3 linked regions of the Oryzias latipes genome follow. The protein of the gene in region 3 purifies or fractionates together with the protein of the main gene of each other region. This does not show direct contact. Links are inferred from orthologs where the notes say so. Each region holds a gene or a part of one and is shown on either strand. Other genes may lie near its edges.

Region 1 (3,751 bases), on a different chromosome or scaffold from region 3:
TTGACGGGACATATTGTAGATGCTGTCATTTTTTAAGTTGAATTGTGACTTTGGTGCATAGATTTAGGCCATGATTAGTCTAACGTTTTATTCTAAAAATACTGTAGAAGTTGTCAACTTTTGGAGATGCCGCCTCTTGTTTTCATATTCTTTATTGAAGCTTCAGTTGTGATTTGATTTTAATAATTGAAATAGTTTGGATTCAAAAGCGTGACATAAACAAATCTTTACAAAGAAATCAACTAAAACAGTTTTAAAGGTTTCGTTCTGTACACAAACACCTGAGTTTAGGATTCGCTTCTTGTTGTACTTCTAAAGTTTGTGTTCAAGTTTCATGATGTGTGTGTAATGAAACTTTTACTTTCACTTCTTTGTCATTTGAATTTTGCACTTTTTAAATGTTAGTAAACTAAATACATCTGCATTTTCAGCAAAATGTAAAAAAAGAACCTTTTAATAACTGTCTTTTCTCCTCTGAGTCTCTGATCAGATTTTAAATTAAAATGTTCATTACTTTAACATTCACTGCTTTATATTCATTACTCAGAGTGTCTTAAACAAACGTTTTGACAAAAGAAATATCTACAATCGAATGACGAGTCAGAGTAAAAAGGGTCTCACTGTCAGAGCTGATGAGCAGCTGATGAGCAGCTGTCTCTTACTTTACCTGAAGTCTTTGTCAGTGGAGGTCATTTTCTCCAACAGGTTGGAGATGTGGTAGGACACGTTAGACATGATGGTTCTTTAACAGCTGACACGGACGCCGATAAATGCTAAATCTGTAGGAAAGCAATGGAACTGGGGAACCAGATTCACCCTGACAACATGGCGAGGCTGGTGGGCAGAAAGCGGAGCTAACCTTAAACCTGACACCCCCAGGGTCAGCTAAAAATACAGCACACTTATTCTGGTTTATGTCTCCCTCGTGTGGACAAACCGAGCATTACAGCCGAGTTCGTTTTGAAATCCTAAACCATGGACTGTAAAGAGAAGTTTTACAGTCTCTGTTTGCCATGAATTTGTTTGAATAACATACAAGGTTGTTTTGTAAATAGATTGTTTTCTGATTTATAACTTTATTTTTTAATTGGCTTTCATGTGTGTGAGTATTGTCCCAAATAAATTTAGATTGTTTAATGTGAAAATATACCTTTTGTTATTTTACAGGAAGATGTTTTGACTCTTCTTTCGTTGCATCAACTTTTTTTTTTTTTTTTTTTTTTTTTTTTTCCTCTTTCGGCTTTTCCCATCAGGGGTCGCCACAGCGAACAAGTCGCATGGTAAACTTGGCAATGTTTTACGCCGGATGCCCTTCCTGACGCAACCTTCTCAAAGCAACCGGGCTTGGGACCGGCACAGATAGACAGAGAGACAGATAGACAGAGAAGGGAACAGGGAGCAGCCCTGTCGTTGCATCAACAGGCTTTGTAAATGTAATTTTGCGTTGTTGTCGTGTAGGCGGAACTTACGTTTCGATTGCGTCACTTCCGCCGGAAGCAAGTCTCGGGCTCTGGAAGCGGTCTGCGGTACTTGTTGCCACGTCGGAGTAGTTTGTAAACCCGGTCGATTCATTGCTAAGCGACCAGAAAACTGTTGAAGGGTTTTTGGGTTAAACAGCAGCGATGGTTGGTTAAAATACTTTATAAAAATGGTTTTAGCATTTCTTAAAAACATCTTTAAAGTTTACGTTTGCCTGCTAAGACTCACAGTTAGCTAGCTCCCGTTAGCCGAAATACTAGCTGACGCGTTAGCACTGCAGATAAAAACAATGATGGTTATTTTTTTTATGAACAGGTCAAATAAAATTCTGCTGTTTCTAATCTATAGGTCTCCGTTATTAACACCGTGGACACCTCCCACGAGGACATGATTGTAAGTGTTTGACCTCCCACTATGCTATCCGTGGATGGATAATTACATTGAATTTGTTTAATATTGTTTCACACGTTTATCCGTTCTTACAATTAAACTTTTACTGTGGTTTGATTACTCTATTTTGGGGCTGTATCGTTATCGTTTGGAACTAATCATTAATATTGATTTATAATTACATTTATCCTTAGGTTTGTTTGTGGGGGAAACGTGTTTTTTCTGTCTGTCTTGTTGTTTTCTTGAAGTTCATCTTGTTCTTTGTGCTTTAATCTCTTTAGAAGAAATGACCCACTTTTATCAGAAAGGCTGGATTTTATTGTGATACTTGTTCCTGAATGATACCCTTAATGATTTTAGAGGGAAACGTTTGCCTAACACATGATCATAGAGACGGGCTTCATTTTAAACGAACATACAAGAAAGACAAACATGTTATCAACCTATCAGAGGTCACAGTGTTCTAAAAGTACGAACACATAACTTTTTGTTGACGAGTCCAGGGACATGCTGTAAAGGTTCATGTGTGTTGTTGTGTGTCTCTGTGATGCACGGGTGAAGTGTCCTGGGTGAACCCTGATGGGATAGGCTCCAGCAACCCTGTAATCCTGAGCGGGATGGATGAATTCCCTTCAACATCAAAATGTTTCATTCTTGATAGCATTGAGGCAGTTGTCTGTTGCATAAAAGCATCTAAATCAACCTCCAGCCCCTGATTTCACTGATGTGAGGATCCTCAATTAAAAATGATTTGTTCTAGTATTAAAAGCGCTGTGCTGTATACACTTAAACACTAGACACGCCTGGCAGTTGCATCCCATCTGCATTCATGCATCTGTAAATCTTCAGGTGAGTTGGATGGGAAGTGATGGCGTGTCTAAATACTCACACGTGTTGAAAAGTTCTCTTCATGTCTTTATTCTGGTTTTAGGAGTTAAATTCTCAGAAATCTTCCCTTTATCCAAATGTAACGACCTGCCTTTCTGCAGTGTTTCTTTCTACCTACTAGTACTAAAGACCTTTGACCTTCACACGCCGATGATGTCACCCTTTCAGCTGGAAGACCACCGCTCTCTAGGTGGTTTTTAAACAGCCTCTTCCTGATCCAGAGGTGCTGTAGATTCAAACGGCTGACATGAAAGGTTTAGATCCAGGAGTTCTGGATTTGTGCCTTCATTTAGTGCCAGTATAATGATTGACATAACCAGCATACGTGTTTCCCTTTCAATCTCAAAATGTCCATTTGAAACATCAGACACATAGAAATGGTTTCACTGGCTGTGAACACATACATGTTTCTGTGTTTCAGCATGACGCTCAGATGGATTATTACGGGACGCGACTCGCCACATGCTCCTCTGACCGCACTGTCAAGATCTTTGATGTCAGGAACGGAGGACAGATTCTAGTGGCAGACCTCCGAGGGTGAGTCATCCTCAGAAAAGTCTTAGTTATCCTCTGTTAAATGCAGTAAAGAACAGCAGGTGGGTGTTCTCCAAGAAGAATAACTTCTAGTTTAATGTTCTTTATGCTGGTATAATACACGCTGACAAATATCGTGAAACACAAACGGCTTTCATCGTGAAAAGTTCATTTCTACTCTGAACTCGCGTGTGAGAGATTTTGTGTTCTTCGTTCAGCCATGAAGGGCCCGTCTGGCAGGTGGCGTGGGCCCACCCCATGTTTGGGAACATCCTGGCCTCCTGCTCCTACGACCGGAAGGTCATCGTCTGGAAGGAGGAGAACGGAGCTTGGGACAAGATGTACGAGTACACGGGACACGAGTCCTCAGGTCAGTAAGGGAATGTTTCCCCTCATCCAGTGTTAGAACTCCAGCTCATTCCATTACAGCTACTCTGTAGGTGTTTATGGTAAATGCCAT
Region 2 (3,651 bases), on a different chromosome or scaffold from region 3:
GAAAGAAAAAAGAAAGAAAGCATTTACAGAGAAAGAATAAAAGACAAAAAGATGAAAGAAAGGATGAAAAGACGAATGAATGATCGTTAAATAAACTTTATTGTCTGTTCATTAAATAGACAATAAAGTTTTGGTGCCTCCTTTTGCACAAACATCAATTAAATCTTGAAAGAAGGAAGACGTGCATTTATTTTGTTTTTATTCCTCAATAATCATCTATTCATGCCATTTGTTTTGACTGGATGTTCGAGATTAAATGTAATTCAATTAATTTTATTTATTTTCTAAAGCAACTTTCATGAAAATGCTTGACTAAGTTAAATAATTGGTTCAAACTTCCTTAAGTGCATTAAATTTTAAATCTGTGTTTTTATTTGAAGTCAAAATAATGAAAAACAAACATTCAATGTTCTTCATAAACACCATCCATCCATCCATCCATCCATCCATCCATCCATCCATCCATCCATCCAGTTTTTTGTCGTTTGCTTGTGTTTACCGTCCACTTGTTTGTTGATCTGGTCGTCGGGCAGATCTGAGGCCAGCGCCGTCAGCTTACTGAGCGCCAGCAGCGTCTTCTTCTTCACAAAGTAGCGCGTCTCCGCGGTGGCCTGGCTGTACAGCGTCCTGAAGGCCTGCATGGCAGTAGAAGCAGTTTAGGATGGAGGAATAACCTACAAATGATAAATATTTACCCCTTTCTTTCCCAACGTAATTAGGAAAACGTCTAATTCGTTTTTCATTTGTGCTATAAAAAAAACTTTATTTGCAGGTAAAATTTTAAATCCTACATTGACGACTGAAAAAAAGCAGGAATAAAGTGTTTTGAATGGTGGGACCTTAAAGGAGCAATAAGGGCATAAAATAATGTCTGCAGATGTAAAGTTCCTCTACAGATACTGACTCTTGTTTTTTAATTAATGCTTCTTTCATTTAAAGACAGACCTGGTGCTTTTAACTAAGAGGGTCCAATTACTTTATTTCCAGACTAAATCTCCTGATAACTGTGATTCTGAGCTGAGCTGAAGTAAAGTGTCCTGTGCTTGCTGTCGCCGTGCAGCTGCGGGTGTGAGGGGGCAAACGTGGCGTACGCTCTGGTAGTCGTGCACGTGGACGTTGTGGAGCCAGCTCAGGTGCTGGTGGGACTTCAGGAAGCTGGCCAGCTGCTGGTGCTGCGCAGCCGGCTGGGACAGCAGCTTCCCCCTCTTCCCCTTCTCCATGTACCACCGAAACACAAAGTCAGAAAAGTTCTGCAAAGAAAACGAGGAGGAAGAAGATTCATGAAGCGTCCTGACGGTTGGACGCTCAGCTTTCATTCAAGCAACAAGGAGACAAAGTCGCTCCCGAAACTTTTGCCTGAGTTCTGGCAAAGAATTACAAAAAATGGCAACAGATAAATTAATAATCTGTTGAAGCTCCAGAAGGAATTTAAAAATTGGATTTGTTTTTTTTTACTAAGCCATATGATGGAACTGCTGAGAAGGATGCTCCTGTTAGCTGTGGCCTTTTAACCTCTTCACACACAGTTTCTCTCTATACCATTTAATCCTGGACTCCGCCTAATTTAGCATCACCTTGAATGTAAAACAGACTGAAGAATATTTGTTTTACATGACTGGAAATAAATTCAGGTATGAAGGGGTTAAAAAGGCTTCAGAGGCTTTGAGTTTGTAGCAAAAAAAATGCTAATTTATGATAATAAAAAGCATAAAAAACAGAATTCAAAATACTGTTTTTTTATGTGGTTTCTCTTTTGCGAACCAAAGTTGATAAGAAGATAAATTACCCTAAAAAAAAGGTGGAGTAGCAGAAAAACAGAGATTTAGAATTTTAAAAATACAATCTAATAATAAATAGGCTTAAAAGAGATTTGTATTTCTTTTGTTTTCTTCCTATTAGGCATTTATTTGTAGATTTCAGTCTTTTTTAAATCTGGATGTATTTATTCTATACATTAGCTACACCTTTTTCCTTCTGTTCCATCTCTGTTTTAGTTTCCTTTTCAGATTTTATTATTCTGCATATTTTTATGAAGCTTTTTTTCAGGATAATTTAGCTTCTCGTCAACTTTCCTTTTTATACATATTTTTTTACTATTGAGTTTCCTTAAGCATTTTTTATTATTCTGAATTCTCTTTTTTCTTTCTTTAACAAATTTTAACATGTTTTTTTTTTTTGGCTGTAAACCCAAAGAGAAAAACATTAAAAACCTTTTAAAATATGTACATAGGTCTCAAACAGCAGAGATATACCAGTAATACTTTGAGGGTGCTAAAACAAAAAAAATGAGTTGAATAAACGTTTCTCCCTTAAACACCAGCGATGTCAAACACGTTCAGAGACATATCGTAACTTATTGATTGTTAACGTGATCGACACGAATCAGCGGATTCTGAAACGGAGAAAAGCGGTTTGCACTGTTTTGCAACACGTTACGTTCGCCGCTTTTCTCCACTTCACAATCGAGGCGGAGAATCAGAATTAACTAAACGCTTGAAAAGATACAGCCGTCGATAGACACTGGAGTTTAAGCTCTGGTGTTCAAGGGGTTCAGATCAGGAAAACGTGAGAAAAAAATCCCATCAGACACCATGAAGTATTAGCGCCTTTCAGGTACCTGATCTGCAAACTTGGCCATGTAGTGCTGCAGGCGGTTCTGGTTGTCGGTCTGCTCGCACATCTGGACCAGGATGTCAAAGTCGCAGTATTTCTCTGCCAGCGCTGCCACCCACTGGTACTGACCCAGCTCCACTGCAACACAGCATCCTGTCAGCTGCTGACTGTGTCTGATAAAAACATGGCGGTCTCACAGGAGCGTGCACGATGTCGGGACGCCGCCCCTCCACGGAGACTCACGCAGCGGGGAGAGCAGCTCGGAGCGGCGCTGGCTGTACTCCATCTCCAGGCTGTTGTAGCGCTCCTGCTGGGCTCCTGCGGGCCTCGGCTGCTGCAGGGAGGTCAGCTGGGCCACGTAGCTGCTCAGGTAGATGTCCAACAGCGCCACCAGCTGCTCACAGAGGGAGCTGCGCAGCTGGGAGTCGGCGTGCGGGTACACCGAGGACAGGACGATGTTGTGCTGGCGGGAAATGACGGAGCGGACGCCTCCGATGCCGCCTGACGCTGGAGAAAAACAAAAGTGTTTTTCCAACGTCAGCTCCTCAGGGTTAAACGAGGTCAACACTGAAAGGGACTCACCTGTCCAGGGGATGTACTCCGGCTCCACTGCAGCTCTTTCAGGGGCTCTGTACATGGAAGCCTTGGTGTTTCTATACTGACACGCAGCCTGCAGCATGTCCTGCACACAGACACGCATCAGCGGGCTGCACGGAACACCCGTTTGGTCTTTGGCGCCACGTTTACCTTGATGATGCTGTTAACTATCAGCACCACTTCAGCCCACTGCACAGAGTCAACCGGGTACTCCTTCAGACTCCGCTCCTCCTCCTCCAGCAGGCAATCGAACACCGAGGAGATCTGAGACACCTGGGAAAGCGCCGACACAACAATGAAGGAGCCGCCCCGCCGCCAAACCTCACAGTGACGACGCGGCGGCGGCAGGCACCTCTCTGAAGAAGACGTCGGCCGGAGTGAGGCTGGGCGGGATGGAGGTGCCGCTCCTCTGCAGGGCCGCGCTGATGGCCCGGTTCACCA
Region 3 (3,751 bases):
GTTAGTGAAACAGAACCAGAGATATGTTTAAAGTGAAATAAAGAAAGGATCTGACTTTCAGCCGAGTGTGCCTCCATGAGTGAGATGGGCGTGCCCCCCTGTCTCACGTCCCACACACAGAGCATGCCGTCCTGGCCCCCGGTGGCTACGATGTGCTGCTGGTTGGGATGTCTGTCAACGCAGTGCAGAGGAGCTCTGTCTCCTGACCTGGTGGAAAAAAAGACAAACAAGTAAAGGTGTGTTTCTGAAAGGATAAAGATACATAAAAAAATAATAAATACATCAAATTTCAGAGCTCTTACAGGGACAGAATCTGCGATGGGGAGCTGCTTTGCTGCCTGAGGTCCCACAGCTTCAGCTGGCCAATGGAGTTCACCGTCAAAACCTCCGTGGTCTTCAGGTAAGTCACCGCGTGAATTGTGCTGCTGTCTGCATTCTCTAACAAACACAACGGACAGTTTTAGACTCGACTCCTGATGAGGCGGTAACATCCGAGTCCTCATCTCACCGATGACCCGGACCGCTCCTTCCTGGTCGGCTCTGAAGACCACGATCCTGCCGTCCTCCCCGACAGTGACAATCTCCGGGCTGCTGCAGACCAAGGCGGTGCAGGGCGCGTTGTCACAAGGGTAGCTATGCGCCCTCGCCCAGTGCTGCAGAACTGAAATGGTCTGTTCAGGAAACAAAAAGGAAACCCGTTTTTAAACATGACATTTTGTTTTCTCCTCAAGAAAACCGAAAAGAAACAACGTACATGAGTGTTTGGATGATAGCGGAAAATAGTGACTGCTCCCGTTGATGACGCTGAGACCATCCGTTCCTGGTCCAAGAACTAAAACATGAAACAAAGAAAAACAAGAAAAATTACTTTATCCAAACAATGTACACATTTAAAATCATTTAAAATTAAAACCTATTGTAAAAACATTCCCAGTGTTTTTTTTATTATGATTATGCAGTTTTTAGCAAAAATCAAAAACCCTGTGTTGTTCCTTAAGACATAATTTCTGCAGAGCAACAGAAGCTCATTAGAAATTTGTTTCTGGGTTGTGGATGGGACTGTTAGCGTGAAAGTGACCCTACCATGATTTCCCAGCATTCCTTTGTTTACACGCTTTCCTGCTACCTAACAGCCGCTCACAACCCCAATCTAACATTAGCGTAGCACAAGAAAAAAAAACAACCTGCCGTACAGTTTAGATTTAGATTCCAGCTCAGACAAAGGAAAACAAAGACGGATGTGGATCTATTTGTCTGCGTGCGGAACAGGGAGACTTTGGCCCGCCAATGGCAGTTGCTGCATCGCAAACCGGGTCCTTATCCATTACAATTTAAATAAAAAAGTCCTCGTAAATGCAGTGCTAAGCTTAAATCCTTTTGTCCTCCATGATGAGAAAAATGCTACAAAAACATGTTAAAAACACACATATCTGAGTGAACCATCCAACATAATAAAGTGGGAAAATCCAGAAGAATTGAACAAAAATGTAATCAAATAGTTACACAAATTGATCAAACATTTGGGTGTGAGCTTCTGAAGGATCTTTATGACTTTATAACTGCTGACACTTATTTGACATGCTGAATAATTTTAATGACAGAAAAGGGAACATTTAAAATTTCGTTTTGGTTTTGTGCTCATTTCTATTTTTCATTTAGTTTGTTTATAGGCCTAAATAAAGAAATGGCTCCACAGATCAAACATCAACACCGATGATTCCGTCATTAGAAGCTTTTGGGTTTCTTACTTGCAGGTCCAGAACATCTCCGCCATGTTTGTGCTCACATAAAATTTGTGGGTCTCCTTCAAATCCGTCTTCTAATCCAGAATTGTTGTGATTTCCAATGGACCAGATAGACACCTTGTTGTCCTATAAATCAACGGGTTTCACATTAAACTCAGTGAACATTTAAATCACGACGACAAATGAATCAAAACAATTTTTTAAAGTGTATTTAAATAATTTAAATTAATAAAAAAAATTGAGTTAATTAGCAAGCGATCTTAATAATTTGTGTGGTTTTGCGCTAGTAGTAGTACTACTAGCTAACCTCGTTGTCCCACGAGCCCGTAGCAAAGACTTCTGGTTGTTGCAGTGAAGAATAGGAAACCGGACACCATCTCGTCTTACTGATTTTCTGAGACACATATTTGGCATTTATGCTCTCCATGGAAATTGAAGCCTTTTTGTTAAAATTTGAAGTGTTGTTTTCAGTTTACGGACTACACGAGAAACTACGCGCCTGCTGCTTCATACGTAACTACGGTGGCCCGAGAAGACCAGATCACAGTGTGCTATTCTTCTTTAAATTAATAGATAATCTGTTTCCCCCTAGCGGCCGACTTCTTTATTACCCAACAATTCCAATAAAGCAGAGACAGAGGAATTCCCTCTTTAAACTGACACTGGGCTCAGTACGTATCTAATTGGGTTTGTATTTTATTAAACTGTACGTGTTTTGTTAAAAGGGAGTGTATGTGAAAGGCGGCCCGGTAATAAAATCATTTGGATGTCTGGTGACGTATCCGCTCCGCCGTCTCCGCTCGAGGTTGCGAGCTTCATCGGGAAAACTGTTGGCGCAGGCGCGGCACTGACAGCTGCTGTCTACTTACTCCGCAAAGTCTGCTTAATAATGGCCTGGAAATCTGGAGGAGCCAGTCACGCAGAACTTGTCACCAACCTTCGCAGTGAGTCTTGTAGCGTTTTTAAGGTGGCATCGGCAAGCAATTCACCCGCGCGACGCTGGAAAACTGTTTTCGGGCGCGTGCTTGTTAGCGCAGGTGCGGTAGCTAGCTGGTTGCTTAAACTGTTAACCACTGTTGCCCCTAGTTTCTCCACCCCCTTTTTTTTTTTTTGCCAAACCACGTTACGCCGTGGGACACGCGCGCGCTTCTGTCATTTTAGATCAAAATAAAAGCACTAAACACCCAAATTACATAATATTTGCATTAAATATTTAGGGTGTATTGTGATGTTAGCCCGGCCAGCTAGCTATGTATGTGCGTCATGTAGGAGCATGTAGCTAGCGTTAGCAGCGGCGCTAGCTGTGTGCCCTGCCCACATCCATTGATGTCTGTCTGCACTGGCCACTGCGCTGTCATTTCACTGACGAGAACAGTTTAAACCGTAAAGCTCGACTCTGGAAACCACCCTTCTGTTGCACGAGACAGAAATTCACATTTGCTGTGTCACGATAGCAGCTAGCAACATCGAAAGAGCGACTTAGTGCCAAGTCCAACTCGGAATAAATGGTAATGTCATTTTGACACTTAGCCTTTTTGTTCATAATAAGCCTTTAAGCCAGTACATCAACTTATTTAATGCTAATATGTGAATTTAATACGATATTTGCAGACTTGAGTGTGCGTCAACATTCACTGTCAAGTATTTGCCAGCTCTATTTATACTCTCTGTGCTGTCAGGGGTATCATTGCTCGCTTTTTTGCCCATAGCTGCGTGTTTAGGAGGGCATCAGTCTCTATATCTGCTTATCTCAGTCCAGACATGTTTGCTTCCGACTAGCACACTTCATTTGGATTGAAGCAGACCACATGCAGAAGGCATGCTGATCAGTCTGCCACCTCTGGCTGAACCTTTCAACCCTGCAGGCTTTTGTTAAGGACCTTTTGTGGTTATATTGGCTTTATGCAAATAGGTACAGTTAAAAAAGTGATCATGTGGACTGTATATAATAATGCTCAAGAGTTTTATCATCTTATTTTGCTAATATTTTACATGTGCATTCTTAA

Evidence for each region.
Region 1: the proteins of nup43 (region 3) and sec13 purify together in Homo sapiens (affinity purification with mass spectrometry; 3 studies listed by BioGRID and IntAct, counting the BioPlex papers as one, with this or other methods). This does not show direct contact. The link is inferred for Oryzias latipes from reciprocal best matches to the Homo sapiens genes NUP43 and SEC13.
Region 2: the proteins of nup43 (region 3) and nup133 purify together in Homo sapiens (affinity purification with mass spectrometry; 5 studies listed by BioGRID and IntAct, counting the BioPlex papers as one, with this or other methods). This does not show direct contact. The link is inferred for Oryzias latipes from reciprocal best matches to the Homo sapiens genes NUP43 and NUP133.

Annotation. Positions count from the first base shown.
Region 1 is NC_019863.2:32,816,511-32,820,261, reverse strand, and holds the start of sec13 (protein SEC13 homolog), read left to right. Parts: upstream 1-1,475; 5' UTR 1,476-1,622; coding exon 1,623-1,625; intron 1,626-1,827; coding exon 1,828-1,872; intron 1,873-3,178; coding exon 3,179-3,294; intron 3,295-3,509; coding exon 3,510-3,661; intron 3,662-3,751. Other genes in the region: cullin-associated NEDD8-dissociated protein 1-like, read right to left, coding at 668-735. UniProt on the Homo sapiens protein: Functions as a component of the nuclear pore complex (NPC) and the COPII coat. At the endoplasmic reticulum, SEC13 is involved in the biogenesis of COPII-coated vesicles.
Region 2 is NC_019859.2:2,085,123-2,088,773, forward strand, and holds part of nup133 (nuclear pore complex protein Nup133), read right to left. Parts: coding exon 3,563-3,651; intron 3,484-3,562; coding exon 3,361-3,483; intron 3,296-3,360; coding exon 3,196-3,295; intron 3,121-3,195; coding exon 2,857-3,120; intron 2,752-2,856; coding exon 2,618-2,751; intron 1,251-2,617; coding exon 1,092-1,250; intron 636-1,091; coding exon 500-635; intron 179-499; exon of another isoform or gene 1-178. UniProt on the Homo sapiens protein: Involved in poly(A)+ RNA transport. Involved in nephrogenesis.
Region 3 is NC_019882.2:17,710,010-17,713,760, reverse strand, and holds the start of nup43 (nucleoporin Nup43), read right to left. Parts: upstream 2,291-3,751; 5' UTR 2,173-2,290; coding exon 2,053-2,172; intron 1,872-2,052; coding exon 1,749-1,871; intron 833-1,748; coding exon 755-832; intron 672-754; coding exon 509-671; intron 439-508; coding exon 303-438; intron 208-302; coding exon 56-207; intron 1-55. Other genes in the region: pcmt1 (protein-L-isoaspartate(D-aspartate) O-methyltransferase), read left to right, coding at 2,512-2,689. UniProt on the Homo sapiens protein: Component of the Nup107-160 subcomplex of the nuclear pore complex (NPC). The Nup107-160 subcomplex is required for the assembly of a functional NPC.